Mus musculus: one gene and its partners. The protein of the gene in region 3 binds, or shares a complex with, the protein of the main gene of each other region. Links are inferred from orthologs where the notes say so. Each region holds a gene or a part of one and is shown on either strand. Other genes may lie near its edges. The genes, in order: Gpaa1, Pigu, Pigs and Pigt.

Evidence for each region.
Region 1: Pigs (region 3) and Gpaa1 share a complex: the UniProt entries of both Homo sapiens proteins name them as parts of the GPI-anchor transamidase complex. The link is inferred for Mus musculus from reciprocal best matches to the Homo sapiens genes PIGS and GPAA1.
Region 2: the proteins of Pigs (region 3) and Pigu are in contact, whole or in part, in a cryo-EM structure (PDB 8IMX), measured with the Homo sapiens proteins. The link is inferred for Mus musculus from reciprocal best matches to the Homo sapiens genes PIGS and PIGU. Residues at the interface, in NP_149975.1 of Homo sapiens: Ala4, Gly5, Ala8, Thr9, Glu12, Arg15, Arg18, Ala19, Phe22, Phe23, Val26, Leu30, Leu34, Trp35, Thr38, Thr39, Leu510, Leu511, Phe513, Ile521, Tyr522, Leu525, Phe526; in NP_536724.1 of Homo sapiens: Gln118, Phe282, Glu283, His284, Phe285, Leu287, Phe288, Phe289, Cys291, Val292, Phe293, Ile295, Phe299, Tyr300, Ile302, Pro303, Ile306, Lys307, Lys309, Glu310, Thr417, His418.
Region 4: the proteins of Pigs (region 3) and Pigt are in contact, whole or in part, in a cryo-EM structure (PDB 8IMY), measured with the Homo sapiens proteins. The link is inferred for Mus musculus from reciprocal best matches to the Homo sapiens genes PIGS and PIGT. Residues at the interface, in NP_149975.1 of Homo sapiens: Thr9, Glu12, Val13, Gly16, Ala19, Ala20, Phe23, Thr230, Pro238, Lys239, Tyr244, Ile247, Glu248, Val251, Gln256, Val270, Asp271, Ser272, Gln273, Ile274, Tyr276, Tyr277, Met279, Ser309, Arg310, Ser313, Ser314, Ala315, Ala316, Phe513; in NP_057021.2 of Homo sapiens: Pro26, Arg27, Val63, Ser64, His65, Tyr66, Arg67, Lys71, Gln75, Lys79, Tyr80, Val133, Gly136, Lys191, Leu193, Pro194, Cys195, Ser196, Lys198, Ala199, Glu270, Pro271, Pro273, Leu274, Tyr526, Ile529, Cys530, Cys533, Val536, Ala537.

Annotation. Positions count from the first base shown.
Region 1 is NC_000081.6:76,330,036-76,334,146, forward strand, and holds the start of Gpaa1 (glycosylphosphatidylinositol anchor attachment 1 protein), read left to right. Parts: upstream 1-1,258; 5' UTR 1,259-1,354; coding exon 1,355-1,428; intron 1,429-1,860; coding exon 1,861-2,040; intron 2,041-2,124; coding exon 2,125-2,236; exon of another isoform or gene 2,237-2,252; intron 2,253-2,448; coding exon 2,449-2,596; intron 2,597-2,674; coding exon 2,675-2,776; intron 2,777-2,867; coding exon 2,868-3,064; exon of another isoform or gene 3,065-3,129; coding exon of another isoform or gene 3,130-3,141; coding exon 3,142-3,338; intron 3,339-3,428; coding exon 3,429-3,582; intron 3,583-3,759; coding exon 3,760-3,855; intron 3,856-3,978; coding exon 3,979-4,111. UniProt on the Homo sapiens protein: Component of the glycosylphosphatidylinositol-anchor (GPI-anchor) transamidase (GPI-T) complex that catalyzes the formation of the linkage between a proprotein and a GPI-anchor and participates in GPI anchored protein biosynthesis. Binds GPI-anchor.
Region 2 is NC_000068.7:155,294,903-155,298,461, forward strand, and holds part of Pigu (phosphatidylinositol glycan anchor biosynthesis class U protein precursor), read right to left. Parts: intron 2,306-3,559; coding exon 2,181-2,305; intron 1-2,180. UniProt on the Homo sapiens protein: Component of the glycosylphosphatidylinositol-anchor (GPI-anchor) transamidase (GPI-T) complex that catalyzes the formation of the linkage between a proprotein and a GPI-anchor and participates in GPI anchored protein biosynthesis.
Region 3 is NC_000077.6:78,334,911-78,338,469, reverse strand, and holds part of Pigs (GPI transamidase component PIG-S), read right to left. Parts: intron 3,044-3,559; coding exon 2,836-3,043; intron 1,783-2,835; coding exon 1,640-1,782; intron 682-1,639; coding exon 567-681; intron 1-566. UniProt on the Homo sapiens protein: Component of the glycosylphosphatidylinositol-anchor (GPI-anchor) transamidase (GPI-T) complex that catalyzes the formation of the linkage between a proprotein and a GPI-anchor and participates in GPI anchored protein biosynthesis.
Region 4 is NC_000068.7:164,496,277-164,500,410, forward strand, and holds the start of Pigt (GPI transamidase component PIG-T isoform 1 precursor), read left to right. Parts: upstream 1-1,282; coding exon 1,283-1,481; intron 1,482-1,589; coding exon 1,590-1,767; intron 1,768-2,212; exon of another isoform or gene 2,213-3,408; intron 3,409-3,455; exon of another isoform or gene 3,456-3,518; coding exon 3,519-3,646; intron 3,647-3,805; coding exon of another isoform or gene 3,806-3,914; coding exon 3,915-4,015; intron 4,016-4,134. UniProt on the Homo sapiens protein: Component of the glycosylphosphatidylinositol-anchor (GPI-anchor) transamidase (GPI-T) complex that catalyzes the formation of the linkage between a proprotein and a GPI-anchor and participates in GPI anchored protein biosynthesis.

The DNA of each region.
Region 1 (4,111 bases), on a different chromosome or scaffold from region 3:
TTTGATCAGGGAGCAGGGGTCTCCTGCCTGTCAGTTGCCTTATTTCGCAAAGTTATCTTTTTTTTTTTCCTGTTTTTTTGAGACAGGGTTTCTCTGTGTAGCCCTGGCTGTCCTGGAACTCACTCTGTAGACCAGGCCTGCCTCTGCCTCCTGAGTGCTGGGATTAAAGGCGTGTGCCACCACCGCCCGGCACAAAGAGGTATCTCGATGCACAGGGTTTGGTCAGTGATGAGCAATTTATCTGTAACCGTTGCAATGGTAGGCACTTTCCCTCTATTTCCCTGATTGGCTCTGGCCCAGGGCAGTTTCTTCTTGGACTTGTCGGTGGTATTTCTATTAACCACAGTTCAAACCGGGGACCAACAAACTCAAGTTGGAATCAGCTTACAAATTGGAGTTTCCCCCTTCGCCTATGTTGGTCACTCAAGTCCTCCAGCTAAGGAGTGTGCCATGCTTACACAGCCCATCAGGGACAGGAGCACAAGGCCGAGGTTGCACTCAGCTGGCTATGGGTGTCCATCATTAAGAGATGACATTATGACGTAACGGCAAAATTAGCTATTCAGAATCAGCCAAATAATTTTATGTTTGAGGATCATCACAACATGAGGAACGGTATTAAAGGTCAGAATGTTAAGAACCACTGGACTAATGTCTTCTTTCCTTGGGCCTTTCCTCCCGCTTACTTTGGGCTCTAGGAGGATAGCCACCTTTTGTTGCTTCTTGGCCATCTATCCTTAGGCCCTTACCCCTGCAACCTTTTAGAGAAACTACCTTCATCGCCACCACCACCCATCTCCTCTGGCCACCAACTCGCCCACTGTGCCAGTGAGCCCACTGTCTTAAGGTTCATGACATCCACAGAAATGATTTAGCGTCGAATCCTCAGTTCACACGGGTCCCTCAAGTCATAGCTACAACACTGTCATTCAGTATCTCACTTCAGCAGGCATCAGTCTTTTCTCGTCGTTCTAGCTCTCTACCCACCTGCGTTACACTCCCGAGAACCTTTAGGCAGGCACACTGTCGCTGCTCTGTCGTGAGATCCGCCAGCGTCCCGCCTTCCAGCTGCTCGCCCGCAGCTTCACAGCCCCAGGTTCCAGTTCCGCCCACTGGCCATGACTGCATCCCGTACTTCTCCAGCCTACCTCAGTTTTGAGCACGCGCAGAGCTGGCGACCTCAGTTGTGAGCATGCGCACAATCTGGTTTCCCAACTCCGTCTGCCGCTACCAAGAGTAGTGGCGCGATGGATCCTGGGACCGGAAATTAAGGCAGCACCGGGCGCCGGGTCCGACAGGAACCCTGCTCTTGGAGGTGTCAAGCTGCCGCGAGAGCAGAGCCCCGCGCCCCGCCATGGGTCTCCTGTCGGACCCGGTGCGCCGGCGCGCGCTCGCCCGCATCGTCTTGCGCCTTAACACACCTCTCTGGTGAGGGCGGGCACAGGGGGCGGGACTGGCGGGAACTTGAGCTGCTGTGGCTCCACACGCGCCTACTGCTCCAGGGTCTGCGACCTCTTTGCAAGTGTCACTCAGACACTGAGCTTAGAGCTCTGGTCCCTATCCATCGCTGATCTAGGGTCTTAGATCTTTTTTCCTTTCCGGAGGCAGGATTTCTCTGTGCAGCCCTGGTTGTCCTGGAACTTATTCTGTAGACCAGACTAGCCTCGAACTCAGATCCGCCTGTACCTGCCTCTGCCCCCTGAATGCTGGGATTAACAGCGTGTGCTGCCACTGCCCGGCTTTGGCTCCGGGTTCTTAATGGCTTGGACCATCCCGCTGGACCCTCTGGGTCATGGTGGAAGCCACGAGCTAGCGTTCCAGGTCGGGCTAATTCCGAGCCCACTCTGTACTCTCTCGCAGTGTGCTGAGCTACGTGGCCGGGATCGCCTGGTTTCTGGCGCTGGCTTTTCCGCCGTTAACCCAGCGCACTTACATGTCTGAGAATGCCATGGGCTCCACCATGGTGGAGGAACAGTTTGTAGGTGGAGACCGCGCTCGGAGCTTTGCCCGGGACTTCGCTGCCCACCGCAAGAAGCCGGGGTGAGTGCCTAGCAGCGGGCTGGGGATTTCAGGGGCGGCCGAGACCAGGGAGCTCTACTTAGAGGCTATCTTTTGTGTCTCCAGGGCTCTGCCAGTAGCCTGGCTGGAACGGTCCATGCGATCCGTAGGGCTGGAGGTCTACACCCAGAGCTTCTCCCGCAAACTACCCTTCCCGGATGAGACCCACGAGCGCTATGTATTGAGGGAAAGGGGTGTGCCTGGGAGAAAAGCACATTGGAAGGGTGGCCTGGGTTGGGTGTCTTGTTGAAGTGCCCTGAAACCAAGAAACTCTGGGAGGGATGGTCTGAAGAACTTTAGTGGTGGGCATTGAAGTGCCAGGAAAAAAGACAGGCTTCAGGCTGTCCGCTGGAGGGTCTGCTGAGGCTTTCCCATCAACTCTTTGTGCAGATGGTGTCAGGTACCAACGTGTATGGCATCCTGCGGGCCCCACGTTCTGCCAGTACCGAGTCCCTGGTGCTTACTGTACCCTGTGGTCCAGATGCCACCAATAGCCAGGCTGTGGGGTTGTTGTTGGCACTTGCTGCCCATTTCCGAGGTGAGGCTCTGGGGCTCTGGTCCGGGAGGATTTGACCAATGCCCCAGGCCCTTTGCTGACCCTGCCTTTGGCTTCCAGGGCAGATTTACTGGGCCAAAGATATCATTTTCCTGGTAACAGACCATGATCTTCTGGGCACCGAGGCTTGGCTCGAAGCCTACCATGACATTAATGTTACAGGTAGGTGTAGCCCTAGTCTTGCTCCCCATCTCTTTCAAAGTAAACCGCGGTCCCTTGTGCCCCCTCTAGTGCTCACTGCTTGCTCCTACAGGCATACAGTCATCTCCCCTGCAGGGCAGGGCTGGAGCCATCCAGGCTGCTGTAGCTCTGGAGCTGAGCAGCGACGTGGTCACCAGCCTCGATGTGACAGTGGAGGGACTCAACGGTCAGCTGCCCAACCTTGATCTGCTCAACCTCTTCCAGACCTTCTGCCAGAAAGGGGGGCTGTTGTGTACACTCCAGGGCAAGGTGGGACCACCCGCTTGGGAGCCTGGGGCTCGTGAGAAGGGGTGAGTCTGTCTGATCCTGTCCCCATGCCTCCAAAGCTGCAGCCCCAGGACTGGACGTCACTCGAAGGGCCGTTGCAGGGTTTGCAGACACTGCTACTCATGGTGCTGCGGCAGGCCTCTGGCCGGCCCCACGGCCCCCACGGCCTTTTTCTGCGCTACGGAGTGGAGGCACTAACCCTACGCGGCATCAATAGCTTCCGCCAATACAAGTATGATTTGGCGACAGTGGGCAAGTAAGTTCTCTGGACCCCTTTCCGTGTTCAAGGTCATGTCTAGCTGGGGTGAGAGGGTGGCTGGCCCTGACCTGACTGTGCTCCTGGCAGGGCTCTGGAGGGCATGTTCCGCAAGCTCAACCACCTCCTGGAGCGCCTGCACCAGTCATTCTTCTTCTACCTGCTGCCGGCCCTCTCCCGCTTTGTCTCCATCGGACTCTACATGCCCGCCACGGGCTTCCTGCTCCTAGTCCTTGGACTCAAGATATCCTCCACCCTCGTGCTCGCTACTCACTTGTGGCCAAACTCACTCAGATCCCTTTAACTATAAAGGGGGGATAGTCCTTCATCCTACATATGGTAGGGATAGGGAAGTGAGCCTAAGATCTCCCACCTAGCAAATCACATCCAATGGCTTGTCTGGGTCCTTGACTTGCTCTATGCTCTGGAGCTGTGGATGCAGTTACACCAGGCTGGAGTCAACCCGGAGGAGGCTGGGAAGGCCCCTAGTCCCGGGACTCCACTCTTGCCAACACAGGTGATGCTATACTCTACTGCTCTTAGGATGGGGGTTTTAACATACCCAGCAGTGCTTTGGTATGCGTCCTTGGGGGTTCTCCTATTCCTCTGGCCTAACTCCAAGTACCCATGTGTCCTGCAGGGTGTGGGCCTGGCCTCACTTACGGCACCCCTGCTGATCTCTCAGGCCATGGGTCTGGCCCTCTATTTCCTGCCTGTGCTGGGCCAACATTTAGCTACTCAGCATTTCCCAGTGGCCGAAGCCGAGGCTGTTG
Region 2 (3,559 bases), on a different chromosome or scaffold from region 3:
GTGGTGGTGCACGCCTTTAACCCCAGCACTTGGGAGGCAGCCTGGTCTACAGAGCGAGTTCCAGGACAGCCAGGGATACACAGAGAAACTCTGTCTCGAAAAACCAAACCAACCAACCAACCAAACAAACAAAAAAACCCAAAAAACAAAAACACCCCCAAAAAAATCCATGAAAAATACTTTTTTTTTTTTTGAGTCAGGTCTCATATGGCCTGGAATTCCCTTTTGTAGCCTTGGCTAACCTCAAACTTGCTATCCTCCCGCTTCAGCCTCTTAAGTGTTAGGGTTATAGATCCATGCCAGAAAGCTCCACTTACTCTCTTCATCTCATGGACGGAAAAGGAAAACTCAGAGGCGCAGAAAGGCTAAAGAAGCTGCCTGGGAAAGGCAGAGTGTAGACTCAAGCTGTAGTCTGTCTGTCTACAAACTGAATTCAGCAACGTGAGAATGCTACACAACGCCTCTGAGGAAGGGCAATGCCCTCTTTAGGACGGACAGCTAACGAAAACAACCTGGTTGGGACAGGGAAAGACCAGTGCCTGAAGCCCTACCCTCCCACAGACCAAGGCATGTCTATATATTCCAATTGCCTGTGATTCATCACTGGGTGATTCTTATCTGTGAAATGAGGATGTCACAAGCAGAAGATGCCACCTCCTCTCAGTCAGCTCAGATTGGTCACCATTCTAACCAGGCCTGAGAGACACACCTGGCCTGGGCGTGGTCTGCCCACTTCACTGTTTACCTTCACTCCGGGGCTACACTCACAGGTAGGTTTCCTACTCACAGCTGGTCAGTTTCACTTCCTGCTTGACACCCAGACAAAACAACAGGAACTAACTTCTTGGGCAGCTTGCTCTAGGAGTTCGCTTCTGACGCTTGGCTGCATATCGCAGCTCCTTGAGAGAACCAGGAAGGTACCTGGGCTCTGCTTCCCTCACGGGGAGGGGAGGCTTCAGCAGCCTTCTACATACATTTGCAGACTCTTTTCCCCCCTTTTTCGATTGTTGTTGTTTTTCAAGACAAGGTTTCTCTGTGTAGTCTTGGCTTCACTATGCTGAACAGGCTGGCCTCAAACTCAGAGATCCTCCTGCCTCTGCCTCCCAAGTACTAGCATTAAAGTTGTGTGCCACACTGCCCTGTCATTTGCTGATTCTTTTGTGTTAGAATCCATGTTGGGTGTAAGGATATCTTACCCTACAGGAGCCTCGGGAGAAATGGGTAGAATTGAGAAGGGTCTTTATAGGAAGCAGGAAGTCCTATGTTCATAGCCAAAGGCTACAGTTGCACTTGTTCAATAAGAAGCTTGACCACTGTCCAATAAGAAGCTTGGTCACATGTAGCTTCATACATTTAATTTTAAACAAGAATTTCAGTTTCTACTGACACCATGGCTCTTCTTTGTAGTCTCAGTATTCAGGAAGTTAAGATAGGATGACTTCTTCTAATTTTAGGACAGCCTAGGCTATATAGTGAGTTTCAGGATAGCCTTGGCTACAGTCTAGGATCTGTCTCAAACAAACAAACAAATAAACTAATGGAAAAAAATCTGTCCATGACAGTATACACCAGTAAACCTGGATCTGAGAGGTGAAGGCAGAAGGATCAGGAGTTCAAGGTAATCTTCAGCTATACAGTGAGCTTAAGGCCAGTTTGGGCAATATGAAACCCTATGCCACAAAGCTGGAAATAGAGGAGAAAAGAAAGAAAAAACTTAGTTTCTGTATAATATTAGTAGCCACTCTATTAGAATACAGACTAGACACGGTCATCATTACAAACAGCGAGGTTGGACAGCACTGGGCAAGGCCTAGAGAGCTAGGCTCCAATTCCTAGTCTTTCTATTTAGCAGTCACAGGACCTTGAACAAGTGGCTCTATCTTTTTGTACCTCAGTTTTCTCATCTGTATAAGGAAATACTTACCTCCAAAGCTGATGCAAAGACAAAATGACCAACAGCAGTCAGGAACACAGTCACATGCTCTAAGCGATTGTTCTTTGTCACTGACCACAGGACCAGGAGGCACAGAGGCACATGCATGCTTCAGTGGCCTCCTCTTTCTCGGTGCTACCAGCAATGGGTGCCCAGTAAATGCATATCAATTCCTTCTCCCAGCTATTTCGCCTAGCAGTTAGCTGCACTTGAATCTATCCCTAGTGAGGAAAGTCAGAATACTCACATCTGTAGAGATGGTTCCACACAGGGAAGAAAGCCATGTAGAGGGCCACATCCCCCACAGTTGGATAGGACTTGAAGATAGAGATGATGGCAATCTGAATGAACATGAAGAAGATGGGATGCTCCCTGGAGCAGGGCAGGGAAGACAAACAGGCAGAGAGATTAGCCAGGGACTAGGCCCACCTTAGAGACCCCTGATCCTACCTCACCAACCAAAAGTACTCCCTAGGGGTCCTTCAGGCAAAGGCTGCCTTACTACTCACAAGGCATGCATGAGCCAGGCTTCAGTAGCAGGGCAGGAAACTACAGATATCAAATGCCCAGAGGTGGCAAGGAAGACCAGACAAACACCAGTTTATAGGGACATTGCCCACCAGTGGCTTCCTCCTGTCTGTACTAGCTTTCAGCATGCCCCCGGGAACCAAAGGAAGCAAATGAAGTTAGCATTCCTTATCAGGGTGGTGGTGGTGCACACTTTTATTCCCAGGACTTAGGAGGCAGAGGCAGGCAGAGTGAGTTTCAGAGCAGCCAAAGGTACACAGAGAAACCATGTCTTGAAAAAAAAAAAAGTTAAGCATTTCTTATTAGAATCCTAAATGACTGCTTGTCAAGAGAAATCAGGCAAAGGTCGCTGCGACAGGTCCCAAGACAGGAAGTGCCTGCTGGCTGATGGCTTGCTTACTGTTTACAGTCAGAGAAACAAGAGCACCGAGAGTTACACTCAGCATTTTCAGCTCTTCAGGGGCCAAAATTCTCTTTTGATATAGGGCCTCATGTAGAACAGGCTGTCCTAGTGACTATGTAGATGAGGCTAGCCTTGAACTCATGATCCTCTTGCCTCTACTTCCTAGGTGCTAAGATTACAGAGAGCTACCATGTCTCTCTCTGAAACAGAATTCTGGGGACCTACAACTAGTAACAGCTAAAACTGGCTTAAATTAATAAACTACCATGGCTCCTCTCTCCTGAGCCCCCTTTCTATGCTGAGCTCTGTGCAAAGTTTCTCCTGCGTCATCTCAGAGGATCCTCACAACACCAAGGCCAGCCTTCTAGGCAGAGATTCTTGTCCCCTGTCCTTCCCAGAGAAGTGAAGTCAGTGATGGAGCCTGGATCTGTCTGCAGAGCTCCTAATCCACCATGCTTTTCTCCTGGGTATTTCACATGTCTCACAGCAAAGGTGAGGAGAGCATGGGGCACATTCCTTGGAACAGCCAGCCCCTCGACACAAGCAGAGGTTGACTTCTGCACGAGAGCTAGATGCCTGCTTATGAAGGTCTTTGTCAGCTGCTCTGGAGCCAGGGGGATGGAACCACCAGGGGGATGGAACCACAGCAGTGTTCTCCTTAGGAGCCTGGCATGGCCCGAGAGGATGAATACAGA
Region 3 (3,559 bases):
CTCATTTCTGCTTTCAAAGGCCGCAGCTGCAGCAGTAGCCCAGTGACACTTGCCTGCTATGCACAAGACCCTGAGTCTGATCCCTAGTACCAGGGAAGAAAAATTAGGGTTGTGTTTTTTTTTTAAATTAGGTATAGCGGCACATGCCTATAATCTCAGCACTGGGAGGCAGCACAGGAGGGTCAGGAGTTCAAGGCCAGCCTTGGCTACACAGGAAGCTTAAAGCCAGCCTAGGATACATGAGATCCTGTCTCAAAAACCGGAACAAAATAAAGTTTCTACCTTTCTGAGGTATATGAGAGTTTGCCTCAAACAACCAAAGGAAAGGTAAGAGAGGGAGAGGGAGGGGGAGGAGCAGGGGAGGGGGAGAAGGGAGAGGGAAGGGAGGGAGAGAAAGGGAGAGAGAGAGAGAGAGAGACAGGGAGAGACAGAGAGAGACAGAGAGAGAGACAGAGTGAGAGACAGAGACACTAAACCTTCCCAGTCCCATCCAAACCCGAAACCATCAAAGCACCCAGCCGTCCCCAACCCCACGCTGGCCTGACAGAGGCCTCTCAGGAGCTCACCGAGTCGGGACTCCACTGGGTTGATGACGTGGGGCAGGCTGTGCATAGCCAAGGAGTAGCTGGATGAGGCTGGGTCAAAGCGGGGGTTCACGCCGAGCATGGCATAGTATAGGATCTGTGGAGAGAAGGGGGACAGGCCATCCCATACACGGACTTAGAGGCTACTGTCTCTAAGAGTGCAGGGACTGTGTGAAGATACACTCAGGACAAAGACAAGGCTCAAGCAAAGTGCATGTATGAAAGGAAATAACAGAATCAAGGTAAAACTAATGTATTAAATACATACTTAGAAAACCACATTATTTTACCAGGTTCCCAGAAAGTCAAAGAGGGGAACAAACAAAGACTGGGTCCACAAGACCCAATTGAGTCTGCTTTTCAGACCATTGGTTCCTTGCCACCTGCAGGGTCTGATCAAGTCCCCCACGCTTTCCCTACAGGGACAGGATGTGACACTGAAAGCAAGCAGGGCGCTTTATGGCTCTATCGTTACAGTGTTCACATATTTCAGAAAGCTTTTTAAAAATAACTTCCTTAAGGGTGGCTGATGGCTTTAACATGTAGGTACAACTCCTGAGTTAGTACTTGGGAAGTAGCTCTGCCAAGCCACTCTGGTGACACTCCCTGAGCTGGACACCAAGGAAAGGACACCGGAACATGCCCTCAAGGGAGCAGTGGACTGACGGACATAAACAGGTGCACACAGTGCTTCCTACAAGCTACATCCCCGTACCTGCTCACACGACACTGCCCTACACACAGCTACACAAGCAAATCATCACGCTCTGAGAGAAGGAGAGCAGATGCCCATATAAACACTAAACATGTATAGACTTTAAAAAGGCTCCGTGCTGGGCATTGGTGGTGCACGCCTTTAATCCCAGCACTCAGGAGGCAGAGGCAGGCGGATTTCTGAGTTTGAGGCCAACCTGGTCTACAAAGTGAGTTCCAGGACATCTAGGCTACACAGAGAAACCCTGTCTCGAAAAACCAAAAAAAAAAAAAAAAAAAAAAAAAAAGAAAGAAAGAAAGAAAGAAAAAGAAAAGGCTCCATAACTCATTCCTGGTCTTACCTGAGAGTCCACAGAGAAATTGCCCGCAACACTGAGGCGATTCAGGAAAGGCTGCACAAAGCGCTGGACAGCTCCCTCAATGTCCCAGTGGACATCGTGGGACTTGGGGTCTGGGTTGAGTAAACTGAAAGTGATTTCATAGCCTACAGAAAAGAGGAGTCGTGGAATTCAGAAGTACATCAAGGAAAGAGGCAGCCTACATCCCACGTCATCTGGATGGGATAGGGATGCCACTGAGGGACCAAAGAGAGGACAGGAGTGAGATAAGGAACACTGCTGAGTACCTTAAGGAAAAACTGGAGCCAGGCAGTGCTGGCACACACCTCTGATCCCAGCATGAGGGAAGCAGAGGCAGGCAGATCTGAGTTAGAGGTCAGCCTGGTCTATGAAGTGAGGTCTGATATAGCCAGGGCTACACAGAGAAACACTGCCTTAAAAAAAGAAAAAAAGAAAAAAAAAAGAAAAAAAATGGAGAAGCCAAACAGAGTAACTCCTGCTTTTAATCATTGCACTCCAGAAACAGGCAGGAGGGTCTGTGAGTTTAAGGCCAGCATAATCTACATAGTTCTAGGGCAGCTAGTGCTGCCTCAGAAAACAAACAAACAAACAACAAAAAACAGCTGGTGGTGGTAGTGCATGCCTTTAATCCCAGCACCCCAGAGGCAGACATTGGCAAATCTCTTAAATTCAAGGTTAGCCTGATCTATAGAGCAAGTTCCAGGACAGCCAGAGCTACACAGGGAAACCCTGTCTCAAAAAAAAAAAAAAAGAAAAAGGCCAGGCATGGTGGCGCATGCCTTTAATCCCAGCACTTGGGAGGCAGAGTCAGGCAGATTTCTGAGTTCGAGTCCAGCCTGGGCTACAAAGTGAGTTCCAGTACAGCCAGGGCTACACAGAGAAACCCTGTCTTGAAATACCAAAAAAAAAAAAGAAAGAAAAAACAGAGGGAGGAGAGATGGTTTAGAGCTTTAAAGTATTTGTTCTTGCAGAAGATCCAGGTTCAATTCCCAGCACCCACATGGTGACTCACAACCATCTTCACTCCAGTCCCTGGGGATCTGACGCCCTCTTCTGACCTCCAAGCATGCATGCCGTACACATGCATGCACGCAGACAACACACTCATACACATAAATAAGTAAATCTTCCGCCGGACTCACGTCTTCTCCCTTCCTAAAACAAAGCCCAAGCCCTACCTAAGCTGGACTTGAGCGGCCGCCTCTTGTCAGAGCTCCACTTGTCCTCGGGCAGGTGGTCGGCCAAGGCAGCAGCAAGCACATCCTCCGTCAAGGACATGGCCTGGGCGACCTGGACTATGCGACGGCCGATGATGTTGAAGGCTTCCCTGTGGATCAGCCCCCGGACAACTGCCGTCCTCTCAGGCCCAATGTAGCTCATCATGTCCTGTGCGGGGGGACAGAGGGATGGAGCGCCATGGCTCAGTGAAGAAAGCATAAAGGCACTCTATCCTTCTTTTCTTTTTCTTTCTTTTTCTTTCTTTTTCTTTCTTTCTTTTTTTTTTTTTTTTTTTTTTTTTTGAGATAGCCTCTTGACATAACTCAGGCTAAAATTTGAGATTCTCCTGCCTCAGCTTTCCAAATGATGGAATTATAAGCATGCACCATTACATAAGCCCAGTTCTGGTTCCTGTCTTAAGGAATCTGGCCTATTACCATCAGCTAAAAGGTTGCACCACTCTCTGGGCTTGTAGTGAGCTTTTTTTTTTTTTTTCTGTTTTTCATTTTTTTCTCCCAAGACAAGGCTTTTCTGTGTATCCCTGGCTGTCCTGGAACTCATTCTGTAGACCAGGCTGGCCTTGAACTCAAAAGATCCACCTGCCTCTGCCTCCTCAGTGTTGGGGTTAATGGCGTATGCCACCATTGCCCAGTCATGTGTCTCTGTCTCTCTGTCTGTCTCTGT
Region 4 (4,134 bases), on a different chromosome or scaffold from region 3:
CCTACTCCTAAATATTCTCCCAAGGGACATGATAACCTAAGTGTGCAAAGCCACTTGTACAGACTATAATCATCCTTGCCTACTATAACCAAAACTACCAAGCACTCCTTTGCCCATGGAGTGTCTCCAGTGGAGAAACTGGCTTACCCACACAATGTTAGCACTGCACAGCAGTAAATAACCTTATACACATGAGAACACGAGGCCAATCAGCACTGTTTCCCTAGAGATGAGGAAAGGATGTAGAGCCAACTCCCATGAAGCTATGGTTTCTGTCTCTAAACCACAATGTGGTTTCAAAATCATTCCTTTCAGGAAAGAACACACAAAACCTCATACTATGCTGTCATTTACATTTAGTCCTAGAACAGATTAATCTATTACAAGAACACTGGTTGCCTCTACAATGTGTTCTGGAGATAGATGTTGACAGGAAAGAGGCATTAGACCATTTTCTGGGACCTTAGGTGGGACTTTAAGTTTAGGGCTTCCCTCCCAATACACATTGCTATGTCGAGTATGAACCCAAGGTCTCATGCCTACTAGGCACTCTGCCACTGAGTTAGTTTCATCCCCAGCCCCAGTTCTTAGGAACATTCTATATCTCCGTAAGATTTGGAGTTACAATATTTTATTAATTAAAACCCAGGTAATTTTATGAGAAAATTTTGAACGAAACTAAATTTTGACAATGCAGAATACCCATGTGTGAAATTTACTCCGTGATGGAATCAATGCTATAATAGATGAGTGGGCTTGTTGGTGTGTACCCATAGCAACATGTTAATGGTGGAATTAATTTACATGGTTGGAGGAACATGTTTAATAGCTGCTAATTCTTTCAATTTTGCCATACACTCTTATTTATTTTATTATATTCTTTTATTAAGACCACAGGGAGGGGGTAGGACAGCTCTGCCCTCACCGTTGCGGGCTAGGTTTTGAGCCAAGTAAATAGAGTCACTGGACGGTTCTACCTCACGCCTGTAATAGCAGCACTTGGTACCGGGATGGCCACACTGCATATCGAGCACTTCCTAGCTGGTGAAAGCACCTATAGGTGCGCGGGCCCTCAAGCCAGCTCTCTTCCTCCGCCACACGCCCACACCCCTTCAGGCCAGGTCGGCAAAATCCACGATCTGTTGACGGACCTCCGTGTCCCTCCGGTAACCTCGGAGTGGTTTCCGGGACGGCGCCGGAAGTCCTCTCTCATCCGGCTTCCTATTGGATGACCGCCTTTGGTGGGCGCGGGCGATGCTGGGAGGCGGAAGCGGCCGCAGGTATGGCGGCTGCCATGCCGCTCGGTTTGCCGTTGCGGTTACTGGTGCTGTTGCTGGTGGGACGGGGCTGCTGTGGCTGCGCGGAGGGCCCACGCGACAGCCTGCGAGAAGAGCTCGTTATCACTCCACTGCCTTCCGGCGACGTGGCCGCCACATTCCAGTTCCGCACGCGTTGGGATTCGGATCTGCAGCGGGAAGGAGGTGAGTTCAGGACCCCAGGAAAATGTCTGCAGCACCTTGCTCAGTTCCTAAAGAGAGCTACTCAGGGGTGGGGCTTGGGTCGCCGCTCACCTGCCTTGCTTTCTTCAGTGTCCCATTACAGGCTCTTCCCTAAAGCCCTGGGACAGCTGATCTCCAAGTACTCCCTGCGGGAGCTCCACCTGTCGTTCACGCAAGGCTTTTGGAGGACGCGATACTGGGGGCCACCCTTCCTGCAGGCTCCGTCAGGTGCAGAGCTCTGGGTCTGGTTCCAAGACACTGTCACCGAGTGAGTTCCTAACTTGACACCTGTCACAGGCCATGGAGGGGGTGTGGCAGGCAAAGTGTTGTCATCTTGTCATTGGCCTTGGGATCTGCTACTCCAGTAGGTAGCGGTCACACCAAGTTAAAACTGATTTTGGAAGTAAGGATTAATATTACAGGGCTGGAGCGATGCCCCAGTCAGTAAAATGCTTGCTACTCAAGCTTGACGACCTGAGTTTCATTTTCCAGAACCTACATTAAAAGTCGGGTTGCTGCTGCCGGCTTCTAGGCCCATAACTGAGGAGGTGGAGACAGGAGGAACAGGACTGCTGGAAGCCAGTATGCCTGAATCAGTGACTTCCAAGATCAGTGACAGAAGTACCCCCCTACACACACACACACACACACACACACAAACAAAGTACAGAGGGAATAAAAGAGACATTGGTTGCTGATTTCTGGCCCTCACAGCTATTTGCATCAGTATGCATGCACATACAACATGAAGAAATTACATTATTATTGAGTGAACATCGTCTCCTGAAAACTTCCAAGTCTGAGGTACTACATGCATTTCTCGAGGCAAAGAGTAGGTGGTTGGTTCCTATTATTGGGATATAAGGTCACAGATAATTGGCAGACTAGGTGTGTTGTTTTTGTTTTTAAGACATTTGTTTGTATTAAAAAAAAACAAACAATACCCATGCCTAACAAAACATTTGTGGGATAGCAGTGGGCTACAGGATGGTCTTTGTGAAATAAAGCAAGAGTTTCACTTTAAAGCATAATCAAGTTTCTAGCTGTTGTCTGTGAACTACAGAAAATCGCCCAGTAGCTGCTGTGATCTTCCTAGAGTAGAATTTTTTCCATGCAGAGATTGCAAACTTATCTCAGCATAGGCCACAAAATACCGATGACAGAGGGAGTTAAAGCATTGGTGAAACCCTGGAGTGAGAATTTAAGGGTGTCTCATTTGCCTCTTAACTACCCTGCAACATCAGTAATGCAGACATTACCAGGTTTAGAGCCCTGATAGGGAGGGTTAGGGTTAAGAGTCTGTGTGACGATCTGAAATAGTCACCACTCAGTTCCTATGGATTGTAACCTTATGACAGTTCTGACTGTCACTTTCAAGAGAGATCAGACTTTTGCATGAGGAAGGACATGTAAATATCAACAAGTAGTTTTAAAGTTTTTGGAAAGCTGTGTAGGTTGGTATTATGCACAGCAGATGTAGCAGGTGCTTAGGGCGATGAGCTGCTGCCACCTAGCCATCGCCTAGAAGGGGCTTAAGTGGGGTCTTGGACTCTCAGAAGCACAACACTACAGACCGTGCTTGAGGTGAGCAGAAAAGGCTCCTTGGGTAAGACCAGATAAGACCTCTCTGGATAAGACCAGAGCAGGACTTTGAAGGCGACAGAACCATGAGCAGAGTGTTCCCAGGCAAGATGGACACTTGAACAAAGACCTGCAGGGCTGCTGAGATGCCCAGAGAGGGCGCTAAGGAGGTAAGGCGAGGCAGGGGCATCCCTGAGCATCATCTGGCTTGTCTCATGGTTGAGATGCAGCTTCACTCTACCATAGACTTGGCAGTCAGCTGTGGCTGTATTAAGGAGGCCACACAGGATTTGGGGTTCCGAGGCTGTAACCCCAGGCCAGTGAGTAGGTTTGTCTCTGTCTAGTGTGGATCTGTAACCACAGGCCAGTGAGTAGGTTTGTCTCTGTCTAGTGTGGATCTGTAACCACAGGCCAGTGAGTAGGTTTGTCTCTGTCTAGTGTGGATAAGTCCTGGAGGGAGCTCAGCAATGTCCTCTCGGGGATCTTCTGTGCATCCCTCAACTTCATCGACGCCACCAATACCGTCACTCCCACCGCCTCCTTCAAACCTCTGGGACTGGCCAATGGTGAGATAGCCCCGGGCCTTTCCTCCTTGTACCCTCCATGTTCGCATCCTTCCCCTTGGGCTCCTCTTCCACAGCGGGGCTAGATGCTAAATGTGGTGGGTGTACAGGTCCCAGGTAGCTTCCTAAGACTGCTGTCTCTGCATTGCTTCCTCCCTGGAGTCCCACCTGGAGGGGGGACCACTTGGCGGTAGTACTAGAGTGGTCCAGCAGTGGGTGGATGAGGTCACCTACATCTCGGAGGGACAGGACCCAGCTCTGTCTCCCTCAGACACTGACGACTACTTCCTGCGCTACGCTGTGCTGCCTCGGGAGGTTGTCTGCACTGAGAACCTCACGCCATGGAAGAAGCTCTTGCCCTGCAGTTCCAAGGTGAGTGAGGACGGGTGGGGGGATTGGAGAGGGCAGATGTGTCCCTCACAGCCTGGCAGCCAGGGTATAGTTAAGGGAATCTGTGCCCTCATGTCAAGTGGGGTACTGACCAGCCCCGT